Linked DNA regions of Coturnix japonica. The protein of the gene in region 1 interacts with the protein of each later gene in a biochemical or structural test. Links are inferred from orthologs where the notes say so. Each region holds a gene or a part of one and is shown in the gene's direction. Other genes may lie near its edges. The genes, in order: UBE2D1, RNF8 and EP300.

Region 1 (2,578 bases):
ATCTGAACATAAATGGGAAAAACAGGGTACTGGCATGTAGGGGGGCCTCTTTACTTATGGAGTTTTCAAGATGGCTTTTGGTTGCTTGAGCGTACTTGCGTAGGCAGGGATCTTAATCACACCAGATTTTAACAAGAAATAAATGGTTCTGACTGGCATTCCTCTAAGATGAACTTTAAGATGCAGCTGTTGTCTAAGTCATTGCTAAGAGCTGTATTCTATATTCCTGAGCAGGACTGCTGTCTGAAAGCTTCATACTTGTGTATTTCCTTTCCAGTCTTCCTTTCTTCATTTTGTGTACTGGTCTACATAAAGGACTGCAGAAACCAAGTGAACTAACTTGCTTAATTTGGTGTCTCTTTTATTTAGTTTTATTGTCCATATGCTCCTTACTTTGTGATCCTAATCCAGATGATCCTCTAGTACCGGATATTGCACAGATCTACAAGTCAGACAAGGAAAAGTGAGTATAACACAGATGTATTTGTGTGGTACTTGCAGATGGTGATTGGCTACAGCAGCCTGTCCATTTCCTTGAAAAATCCCTTTAGAGATATCTAATGGTAGAGTATTGGCTATTGAAATATTGACAGCATCTATTAGTAAAATAGCAGGAATCTGTAGGCATACACAACTGTTAGATATTTTTTTGCATAAAACCATCATACTGTTGTATGTTGTATGATGTTATTGAGGCTTGCTATTTGTGCAACGCTCCTATGGAGGGTTTTGAAGTGCTGTGATCTGGCTGCCTGCCTGGCTGAACCCCCACAAGATCAGATAACCGATGTAAAGGTCGCTTGCAAATCCAGGGCTTTGGCACTCCTGGAGTTGTGTTTCAGAGCCCTGTGTTCACAGGGTGGCTTCTTCAAGCACTGCAGCTTGAAGTAGTGACATCTGTAGATAGCCAGTCAAGTGATTCATCCATTTCTTAAGAGTTCATAGCAATTGCAGGTGGCAAGAAGCTCAAGCCCTGTATAGTGCAGACTAGACTGTGTGGTTTCTAAAGGTTCTATGGAGAAAATAATCCTTGTGAGGCAAAAGTTTTACAAACAGATCCAGTCCAGTTTACAAAGAGTGAAATAACCTGCCTGCGGGAGTTCCGTGATATCAACAAATATTTCTTACCTTGTAGAATACATTTGGGTACCTGTGGGTTATCTTTAGTGCTGAGTTACTGAAGATCTCTTGCAATGTATGCAAGTAGCCTATTGATTATTGCACGTCTTCATCAAGATCTAACAGCTCTTCACTGTAATGCCTTCTTTCCGCACATACAGATACAACAGACACGCGAGAGAATGGACTCAGAAATATGCAATGTAAACTTGTGAAGACTTTTTCATACACCACAGAGTACTGTAAATTCTAGTGTGTTTTTTTCAAACTTAGAAGGAAACGGAGCACAGCCGACTGTTGGAACGTCCCATCGAGCCCCTTGAATGTTTTCTTTTTCCACCCATGTAAGTGTGTTTCTGGAGCAAGGGAAAACTTCCAAAAATAACCTTATGACTGTGACGAGAGTATTTATCCTCTTTGTATGCTTTGCAGAAGACATTTATTATGGTTTTTAAGAGTTGGACATCTGCATCTTCAGACTGCGAGATCCTTAATGCAGTTGTAAAGCAGCCAAATTATTTTTGCTGGAGAGAAGTAGCCGTTTTTAAGTGATGATACTGTATGTGTGTCTTTAAGATATACGATCTGTTTCATAGGTGTGTTTGGATTTCCTTTTGCTAGTTCACATCTATAATTTGTATTTTTAATTGTATAGACTAAATATATTTTATTTACGGTGTAAGTCATTTCATTCTAGACTGACTTTCTCGTGCACGGTATTGACAACATACAACTGCTGGTGATGAAGGGATATCCTGCCCGCTCTGGGGTGTTCTAAAGACTGACTGCAGACTTCTTAAAACCTAAAATGCTCTTTGCACTGTAATTCTTGGTATGATTACGGACAGACACATGGTTTTGATTCTGTTGCATACTTGACTTAATTTTATTGCAATGTGAACTAATTGCACTGCTGTGTAGAAAAGATATGTAACCTTTTTGTTGCGTTTCACGACTGATTTTTGACACGTGGGCAGCATAACACGCAGACCTTTTACAAATCTAAATGTAGCCTTTTCCATATAAATAAAAATGGATTTTCTACTAGCTGTCCTGGCTGTTGGCTTGTTTCTTTCCCTTTTTCAATGCATGTACTAAGTGTGCTTCACTGTAATCAATGTTGGGTGGCCACTTCAAGGCAGGAGGGAAGGGGGCACGGTAGGAGCTTTGGTTCTGCCTGCAGGATCCTGCTGGCGTTACATCTGTGCTGTACCGATGAACTGTGAGCTGAGCTCCATGGGGAGCAGCTCTGCTCACTGATGGAATGTTTCGCGTTGCTATGAAAGCAGCGCTTTGTTGCAGGGGGCTCTGCGCTCACATTGCCTGCTGGCAGAGCTCGTTTCTTCCGCTCTCGGTTCCGTCCAGCCTCGTACCTTACGTACAACCGGTCTCCGATCCTCCCCAGCCCCTTGGGGTCACCTTGTGGCCCCGTGTGGCGGCTCCTCCCCTGTTGTGGGCG
Region 2 (3,652 bases), on another chromosome or scaffold:
AGTGGAGTAATAACACAAGGTAAATAATATAATGCATTGATTTAATAAATGGGACACTGAACCATTAAGTTGGAAATTGCAAGGTTTATTTAAAGAGGTGGCTTGTTCTGACTGCAATACTGCAGAGACTGGATATGTTTACAGTTGCCAGAAATAACTTGCAGATGACTTTGTAACTGTATATTGAACCTTGCTGATTCTTTGTATTCAGAGTCTAAATGGAGTTTGGCTTAATAAACAGCGCCTGGATCCTTCAAGAACCTATCCTATAGCAGAAGGAGACCGTATCCAGTTGGGAGTGCCTTTGGAAAACAGAGAGACTGCTGAATTTGAGTATGAAGTAATTAAAGAGGAGTGGGAGAAAATCAAACCCTTTTTAGCCCAAAGGAGTGACCTGGGGAAAGCTAGGACCTCAAGACCTAAACGTAAATTTACTTTGGAAGAATCGGAGACATGTGGATCAGAAGGCCCTTCAAATTCCAGATCCAAAAGGGACAGAGTGTCGTGTGATGGAGAACCTTTGAGTAATACATTGGGAAGAGTAGGAGAGGCAGAACAGTTGACAGACAAGGGGGTTGTCAGGCTGCCCTCTCCTGGATCAAGTGAGGACGATGGTGGTCCAGTGCGTGGTAGCCTTGATTGCTCTGAGAAAGCTGTGGCTGTTGCTCACAAGGACCAGAAACACTCCGCTCTTTCTCAGTCATGGACTGGCCTGGAAAAGCTGAGGAAAAATCTCACAGATATAAAGAAATTAAAAGTCAAAGTGCAGGAGAAACAGACAGCAGTTCTGAATGCGAAGCAGAAGCGCAGGAAGGCTGCTCAGAAGACGATCCTAGCAATGGAAAAGGAACTGCAAGAGTTGCAGGACAAACTGTGCACAGAACAAGTACAGCATCAGCAGCAGGTGGAAGAGCTGGAGAGGACATTCTCCAAAGAGAAGCAGAAGCTAGAGGTATGATGGTGGTAATCATTTCAGTCTGTGTGTTTTGAGATATATATTTTTTTCCAATTACGAAACTAAAACTCTGACCCTCTGTGGGTTACAAAGAGGACACGTTAAAAAGCGTTCACGTTAAATGGGATTTTTTTCTTAGTATACAGCTTTTCTGAATTAATGCTAAATTCACGTGGGGAATTTATTTCCTTTTCAAGCAAGTGCATCATTTTTTGCCTGTCTTAATTCAGAGTCTGAGGAAGGAGGGGTTTTTGTTGTTGATTTTTTTGTTTTGTCTTTATTAGGAGAAAAACAGTCTCTTCTTGCTACCCGCAAGTGCCTTCTAGCACTGTGTGGATGCTGATAACTTGTTTTAGATAGGAAGCTACAAGTCTATCTTTCTGTTTGACTCTACTTGAAATCTGGTTCAAGGGAAGTAAGGATTCGTCTGAGAGTTACTTACCTGATTTATCAGTTACTTCCTTTAAAGTCTGCTGCTGAAAGCAGAATACTGTATCAGAAGTACAGGAGGTTTGGAGTTGTGTGCTTAGGATAAAGGGAAGTTCACCTGAAGCTGTAACTCTGTCTGGCCTATTTAAATGTGTTCAGAGAGAGAGCTTCAACTTTTTCTCATGTGTAAGCTATTGCCAGCTTCCTGGCTTCTGTGAACATTGCAGTGTCTTCAGAGCTAGAGTAACATGGAGTTGTTCCAAGTATGGAACTGTAAGTGATACATTCATTTTAGCACTTCACAGTAAATGGGAGCTGTAATTTCAGTAGTACACTTGAATCTCTACAGTAGGCCTTTTCAGTTTCTGCTGAAAATCAGTTTTGTTGCTTTAATTATATCCTCTAAATGTGCAAAATGGTTCTTTTCATTCCCGTGGTATCTTCAAGTATTTTTTTTTCTTCCTCCAATAATTGCTTTACTGCAAGAATGTCTAGTTTTGGTGTTTGATTTTTTTTTTTTTATTTTTTTTTTCAGGGAGTAAAAGGGCAGGATGGGGAAGAGAATCTGAAGGAGCAGCTGGTCCAGGTTCTGCAAGAGGCAAGTAATTAAATCTACTTGGTCTAAATATGGAACTCATATACTTAAATCTTACTGCTTCCACTCTTGGTGGAAGACTAGGACTGTGTCTAAAGTGCATTTTGAGTGGTCTTTATCTTCTACAGACTAAATTATTGCTAGGAAGAGACAGGCCTCCCTTCTTGAGAGTTGTTATTTATCAGCAGATAACACAAGAATCTGTGCTTTTAGAAAGTGTTAAGTAGTGTAGTGGTTCTACTTGAATCCGGTCCACATACTGGTGGATATTTTTGCTAGGTCTGTCCTCTGGTTATCTGTTTTGGGAAAGCTGCCTTGGTAGTTTTAAACCACAGGAAAAAGGACTAGTTTTGGTTAGGAATGTTTCTGAAAGAGATTGTCAAATGCTTAGTTTTCCTAGGCTTTCTGTCTAAAAGGTTTTAAGGCTAATCCAAAAAGAGATTCAACCAGCCCTTCTGACAGGCTTTTGTGACACTTGTGTGTCAGATACTCCTTGATACTCAAATGTAACAGATGCACTCAAGACAGTGACCAGAAAAGCAAAATGAAATGTAAAGTAAGTTGTAGGTGTTGGGTGAACTTCCTTAACACCTTGGCTTATATAGAGCTGGTGCTCTTACAGGAGAAGAAAGGAGAAATGAGTGTGCTGAACCTCATGATTAGATCCATGTGTATTTAATAGGGTAGCTTATAATAACACTCTTATTTTTGGTATCATGGTATCATTACAGCATCATGCTTTGATGGAAGAACTGAGCCGTAGTAAAAAAGATTTTGAGGAGATAATTCGAGCCAAGAATAAAGAACTGGAGGAAACCAAAGTAAGTAATAAAACTAAGTTCTCCGTAATTGGAATATGATATGCTGTGGCAGAATAAATGATTTAACATTTGCTTTGGCTGTGTGCTGCCTTCTGTGTTGAAAAGCTCTTGTATTTTGGTCTGGCGGCTGATTCACTCTGTATAAGATATACTCTTTGCTCTGTTTGTGGAGTAGTATTGCAGAGTTATTACCAGATACAGAAAGCACAGGACATCTGAATAATGTTGTGCAGGAGAAGCTGACCCATTCTTTTCTTTAAAAGAAAACCAAACAAGGGTATTGGAAAAGTGGGTGCTTCATTTTCAGTTTGCGTGGACTGGAGTGAAACTGCAGCATGTTCCAGCAGTCCAACAAGGGAGCACGGGACTGAGACAACGTAACATTTTAATAACGAATGAGATAAGCCATGTTTCTTCCTGCCTCTGTCAAGATGATGAGTGGAAGATAATTAAAGTGATCTTGTGCTGTGTTCTACACTTGGAAATTATGATGTTTCATTCCTCTGGCTATTTGCTTTGTTTTCTTCTGTCAGCTTTGCAACTGTTGCTTTAAGGATAGTTCTTAGAAGATGTAGCAGATGCCGGAAGCCTAATTTAACCCTAAACAACAAAATATGAAGATTGATCCAGTTTGTAGATTCTTTAGATTGAAGGGGACTTTAACAGTGGCTGTTCTTTCTTGTAAGCACTCTGTTATGGACAGGAATATTCTCAGTACTGCTGTAACTACAAAATGGAGGGAGGTTACAAATCTGGGTACATGGCAAACATGGACTTGACGTGGAAAGGCTTAAAACTGGAAGATTTTGTACTTGTATTACTTTCCTCCACACATGCAGTTCCCACCATTAT
Region 3 (3,752 bases), on another chromosome or scaffold:
TCACTGTTTTTTGTGATAGGCTCTTCCTCAATACCTGCTTCAGTTCATCCGTACAGGATTGCAGAGGGCTCAGGACAGGGGAGGTGGGGTGCCGATGCTATGAAGGCCTCACAGATCGTGTATGATGAGATGTGAGTCTCTACCCCCCCCCCCCCAACCCAAGTTTAAGGTAGAAATCTCAACTAAGCACTTAGACCTTCAGAAGATTAAAAACGTATCATTTTCCTGGACTCTTTTATTGACGAACCAACACGCAGAGCTCGAATTCCTTCCAAACGGGACAGTGCACATCGAAAGGAACTGCGTCTTTCCACGAAGAACACACGCAGCCCCGCACTTCCTTCCCTCTCTTATCGCTTCACAGAGGAGCTGGGCTGGGGCATTTCCTCGCTAATGACACATGACGAGCGTTTAAAGGTTTGAGCAACCCCTGGCCAGCCGCTAATCCCCGTTAAGCCCTCAATGGCTCAGGGGCTGCGAGGGGTTATGGCTGTGGCGAGTGACGTCGGGTGCCGGGCCCGGCAGGACGCGACTGACGGTGTAGGGCCGGGGCGGGGCCTAGCGGTGCCGCAGGCCGCTCTGAGCCACCGCCACCAGCCGCTTCTTGGCCGACGGAAAAGTGCGTGACGAGCGGAAGGAGGAAACGTAGCTTTTTTTTTGGGGGGGGCACTTCCCCTTTAAGGGGCGGGGCCAACGCAGTTTGCGGAAGAAGCCGGCGAGCGGCGCCCGCTGATTCGTCGACGCGGTCTCGTGACCTCGCGGCGGCCCCGCCCTTCCCGCCGGCTGCCGCACGCCGGCCCCCCGCGTTCCATTGTGTGCGCCAGCGCCCCCTGGCCCCGCCCCCAAGCGCTGACCACGCCCCCCCCTTTTTTCTCCCCCCCCCCTCTTGGCTCATTTCCGGCCGCCGCCGCCGCCGCTCGCTTCCCTCCGAGGACTCGGCAGAGTGAAGAAACAACAGCCGCCATTTTGTTTGTGTGTGAGCGACCGAGGGAGGGAGAGACAGAGCCAGAGGCCGAGCGGACGGGGCGAGCCGGGGGGAGGGCAGCGCAGAGAGACCCAGGGGCCCGACTAGGGGACGGGGAGAGCAGCGAGGACCCGAGCCGCCCGCCCCCCGCTATCTCCCTTCTCTTTCCCCTTCCCTTTTTTTTAATTTCTTAATTTCCTTCTATTTAATTTCTCCCCTCTCCTCCTTCCTCCCCCCCGCTCTCGCTTCGCCCGCGCCGTCGCACACGCTCCGGGAGCGGCGGCCGCTGAGCGCCAGGCAGGGGCAGTAGGGAGCCTGCGCCCGGCCCCCGCGCCGCTGCGCGTCCCGCCCCCCCCGCCCATCCGCCCCCCCGCGGGCAGCGCCGGGACCCCCCCTCCCCTTCCCCCTCTCCCTCCCTCCTTCGGCCATTTAACCCACTCCCGGCGGAATCTTTATTTGATTTTATTACTTTAATTTTAACCCCCTCCCTTCCCTTCCCCCCATCCCCCGCTTCAGTTCAGCTCGAAGGGGTCGCTGAGCCGCACCCCCTCCTCCTTCTCCTTTCCCCCCCCCCTCCCCGCTACCAACCTCGTCGCTTCCTTTCCCCACCCTCGCGAAGAGGGAGTCCCCGTGGCGGAGCGGAGCCGGGCAGCCCCCTCCCCGCCCGGCCCCGGCGCCCGCAGCCATCCTCAGCCGCCCGGGAGGAGGGGGAAGGTAGGCAGAGAGCGGGGGAGGGGCCGGCTCCTTCCTCCTCCTCTTGCTGCTGCCGTGGGCTCGGCCCCTCTGCCTGCGCCCGAGGGGGGGGCAGCGCACTACTGAGAGCGAGAGAAAGAGGAAGGGGAAAAAGAAGAGAAGGGCGGAGAAGGGGGGGGTAGGCAGAGAAGGGTGTCGAAACCCGGCCCCCCGGCTCCCCATCCCGCGATCGGCGCTGCCTCCATCAGAACAACAACCCCTCCTCCTTCTGCACAACAAGATGTGAAGCGGAGACTCCTGGGACTTATCCTCATCCTCCTTCCAGCTCCCCTTGCTGCAGCCATTAAGCGGAGCGACCGAGAGGAAAACGCGCGTTGGAGCTGGGGCCGCCCGGCCGGCCGCCTGCCCCCGGCCCGCTCGCTGCCGGTGGGTTCTTTTTCGCAGGGTGGTGTCGGAGGGGGAAGGCGCTGCTGCGGGAGGAGGAGGACGGCGGTCGTTTTTTCTTTTTTCCTCCTCCTTCTTCTCTCCCCTCCTCCTTCGCCCGCCTCCTGGTGGCGATGAGGAGGAGGAGGACGGCGCCGAGGAGGAAGAGGCTGATGGCGGCGGTGAGGAGGCAGCAGCAGGAGGAGGAGAAGAGCCCCCGGAGGATGAAGGTGATGATGGTGGCGGCGGCGAGGAAGCACCAGCAGCACAACAGCCGGGATTAATCTCACTGGAAGGAAAGAAAAAAAACAACAAAAAACCCAAACAACAACAACAACAACAAAATAACCAACACCACCAGCCTCTTTTTTTTTAATTATTATTAATTATTTTAATATTTTTTTTAATTATTCTTTTTGGCGGGGGCTTTTGCCATCCCCGCGCGGCCCCGCGCCCGCGGGCAGAGGCCTCTCTCAGCCCCTCCGCTCCCACCTCGCCCCGCTCCTCCCAGGGGCGGAAAAAGGGGAACTCGGCCGCTCCTCGCCCCTCCGCATCGCCGCACCGCAGCCCCCCGAAGGCCCGGCCCCAGGAGTTGGGGGCTCCCCCCGCCGTTTCTCTGCTCGGAGTGATTGTCTAAAAAAGAATTAAAAATGGCCGAGAATGTGGTGGAGCCGGGCCCGCCTTCAGCCAAGCGGCCTAAACTCTCCTCGCCGGCGCTCTCCGTGTCCGCCAGCGACGGCACAGGTCAGTCTCGGGGGCTCGGGCCTCGGCCTCCTTCCTCTCCCTTTTTTCCCCTATTTCTTCCCTCTCCTGCCCGAATTCCCCGTTCCTTCCCTCTGCCTCGGGCCTGCCCTCGGCCTTTCCAGCTCCGAACCTATTTGCTTCACGGTGCAGGAGGGTGTTCGCGTGTTTCTGCCCTTCTGTTTCTTTTGGAAGCGAAGCTAGTCTCTGCATTGTGCATTTGGGCAATCGCTGCCCAGATTTAGTCCATTTCTCGTCTTTTACGCTGTCGCTATGGCAGAGCTCCTCGGCGAGGCTGGGTGCCTTGAGTTCCCGTTGCAGAAGATTGAAATTGCACAGGAGCATCATCTTTAGCACTCTTTATTGTTGAATTTATGGGTGTGCCTGTCCACATACACAAATGCGTGGCTTATTTCTTGTTTTACATAGATTCACGTGTATATTTTTGCCTCTAGAGTTTGTTTAGTAATTGGCTTTATTTCTCTGTTCCTTTTCTCTCCCCCCCCCCCTCCCCATGCATACTGTTTATTTGATCGTATTGTATTATTTGTTTTCCTTGTTCTTCTTTGCTGAGGAATGTCCCAAATTTGCTTTTTCATTTGCTTCTGATAGCTCTTTTGCCAAAGCCAGTGGCCTAAAGCCTGAAACCAGATTGCCACTTTAGGGCACGAGGTTCATCAGGACTCTTAGAGAAACAAAATGTTACTTCACCTTATTTGCATCAAGAATCAATATGGAGTGCACTTCTTGCATCTCCCGTTTCTTTGCTGTGAGACCAAAATGTCTGAAACTACCCTGTAGACATACAGGTTATGAAGATGGAGGGGCTTCTCTGCAGTCCCTTTAGAGCTCCTTGGTGATGCTGTGGAGGTGAGAAATGATGGGTGTCCCAACCCCTTGCAGATAGATCTGGTTGTGCTGGGAGAGCAGA

The links.
Region 2: the proteins of UBE2D1 (region 1) and RNF8 form a complex in vitro, tested with the Homo sapiens proteins (2 studies listed by BioGRID). The link is inferred for Coturnix japonica from reciprocal best matches to the Homo sapiens genes UBE2D1 and RNF8.
Region 3: the proteins of UBE2D1 (region 1) and EP300 form a complex in vitro, tested with the Homo sapiens proteins (2 studies listed by BioGRID). The link is inferred for Coturnix japonica from reciprocal best matches to the Homo sapiens genes UBE2D1 and EP300.

What each region holds. Positions count from the first base shown.
Region 1 is NC_029521.1:5,293,458-5,296,035, forward strand, and holds the end of UBE2D1 (ubiquitin-conjugating enzyme E2 D1), read left to right. Parts: intron 1-369; coding exon 370-463; intron 464-1,280; coding exon 1,281-1,326; 3' UTR 1,327-2,044; downstream 2,045-2,578.
Region 2 is NC_029518.1:27,120,431-27,124,082, reverse strand, and holds part of RNF8 (E3 ubiquitin-protein ligase RNF8), read left to right. Parts: intron 1-211; coding exon 212-952; intron 953-1,919; coding exon 1,920-1,982; intron 1,983-2,710; coding exon 2,711-2,800; intron 2,801-3,652. UniProt on the Homo sapiens protein: E3 ubiquitin-protein ligase that plays a key role in DNA damage signaling via 2 distinct roles: by mediating the 'Lys-63'-linked ubiquitination of histones H2A and H2AX and promoting the recruitment of DNA repair proteins at double-strand breaks (DSBs) sites, and by catalyzing 'Lys-48'-linked ubiquitination to remove target proteins from DNA damage sites.
Region 3 is NC_029516.1:45,453,181-45,456,932, reverse strand, and holds the start of EP300 (histone acetyltransferase p300), read left to right. Parts: upstream 1-1,361; 5' UTR 1,362-2,730; coding exon 2,731-2,824; intron 2,825-3,752. UniProt on the Homo sapiens protein: Functions as a histone acetyltransferase and regulates transcription via chromatin remodeling. Acetylates all four core histones in nucleosomes. Histone acetylation gives an epigenetic tag for transcriptional activation.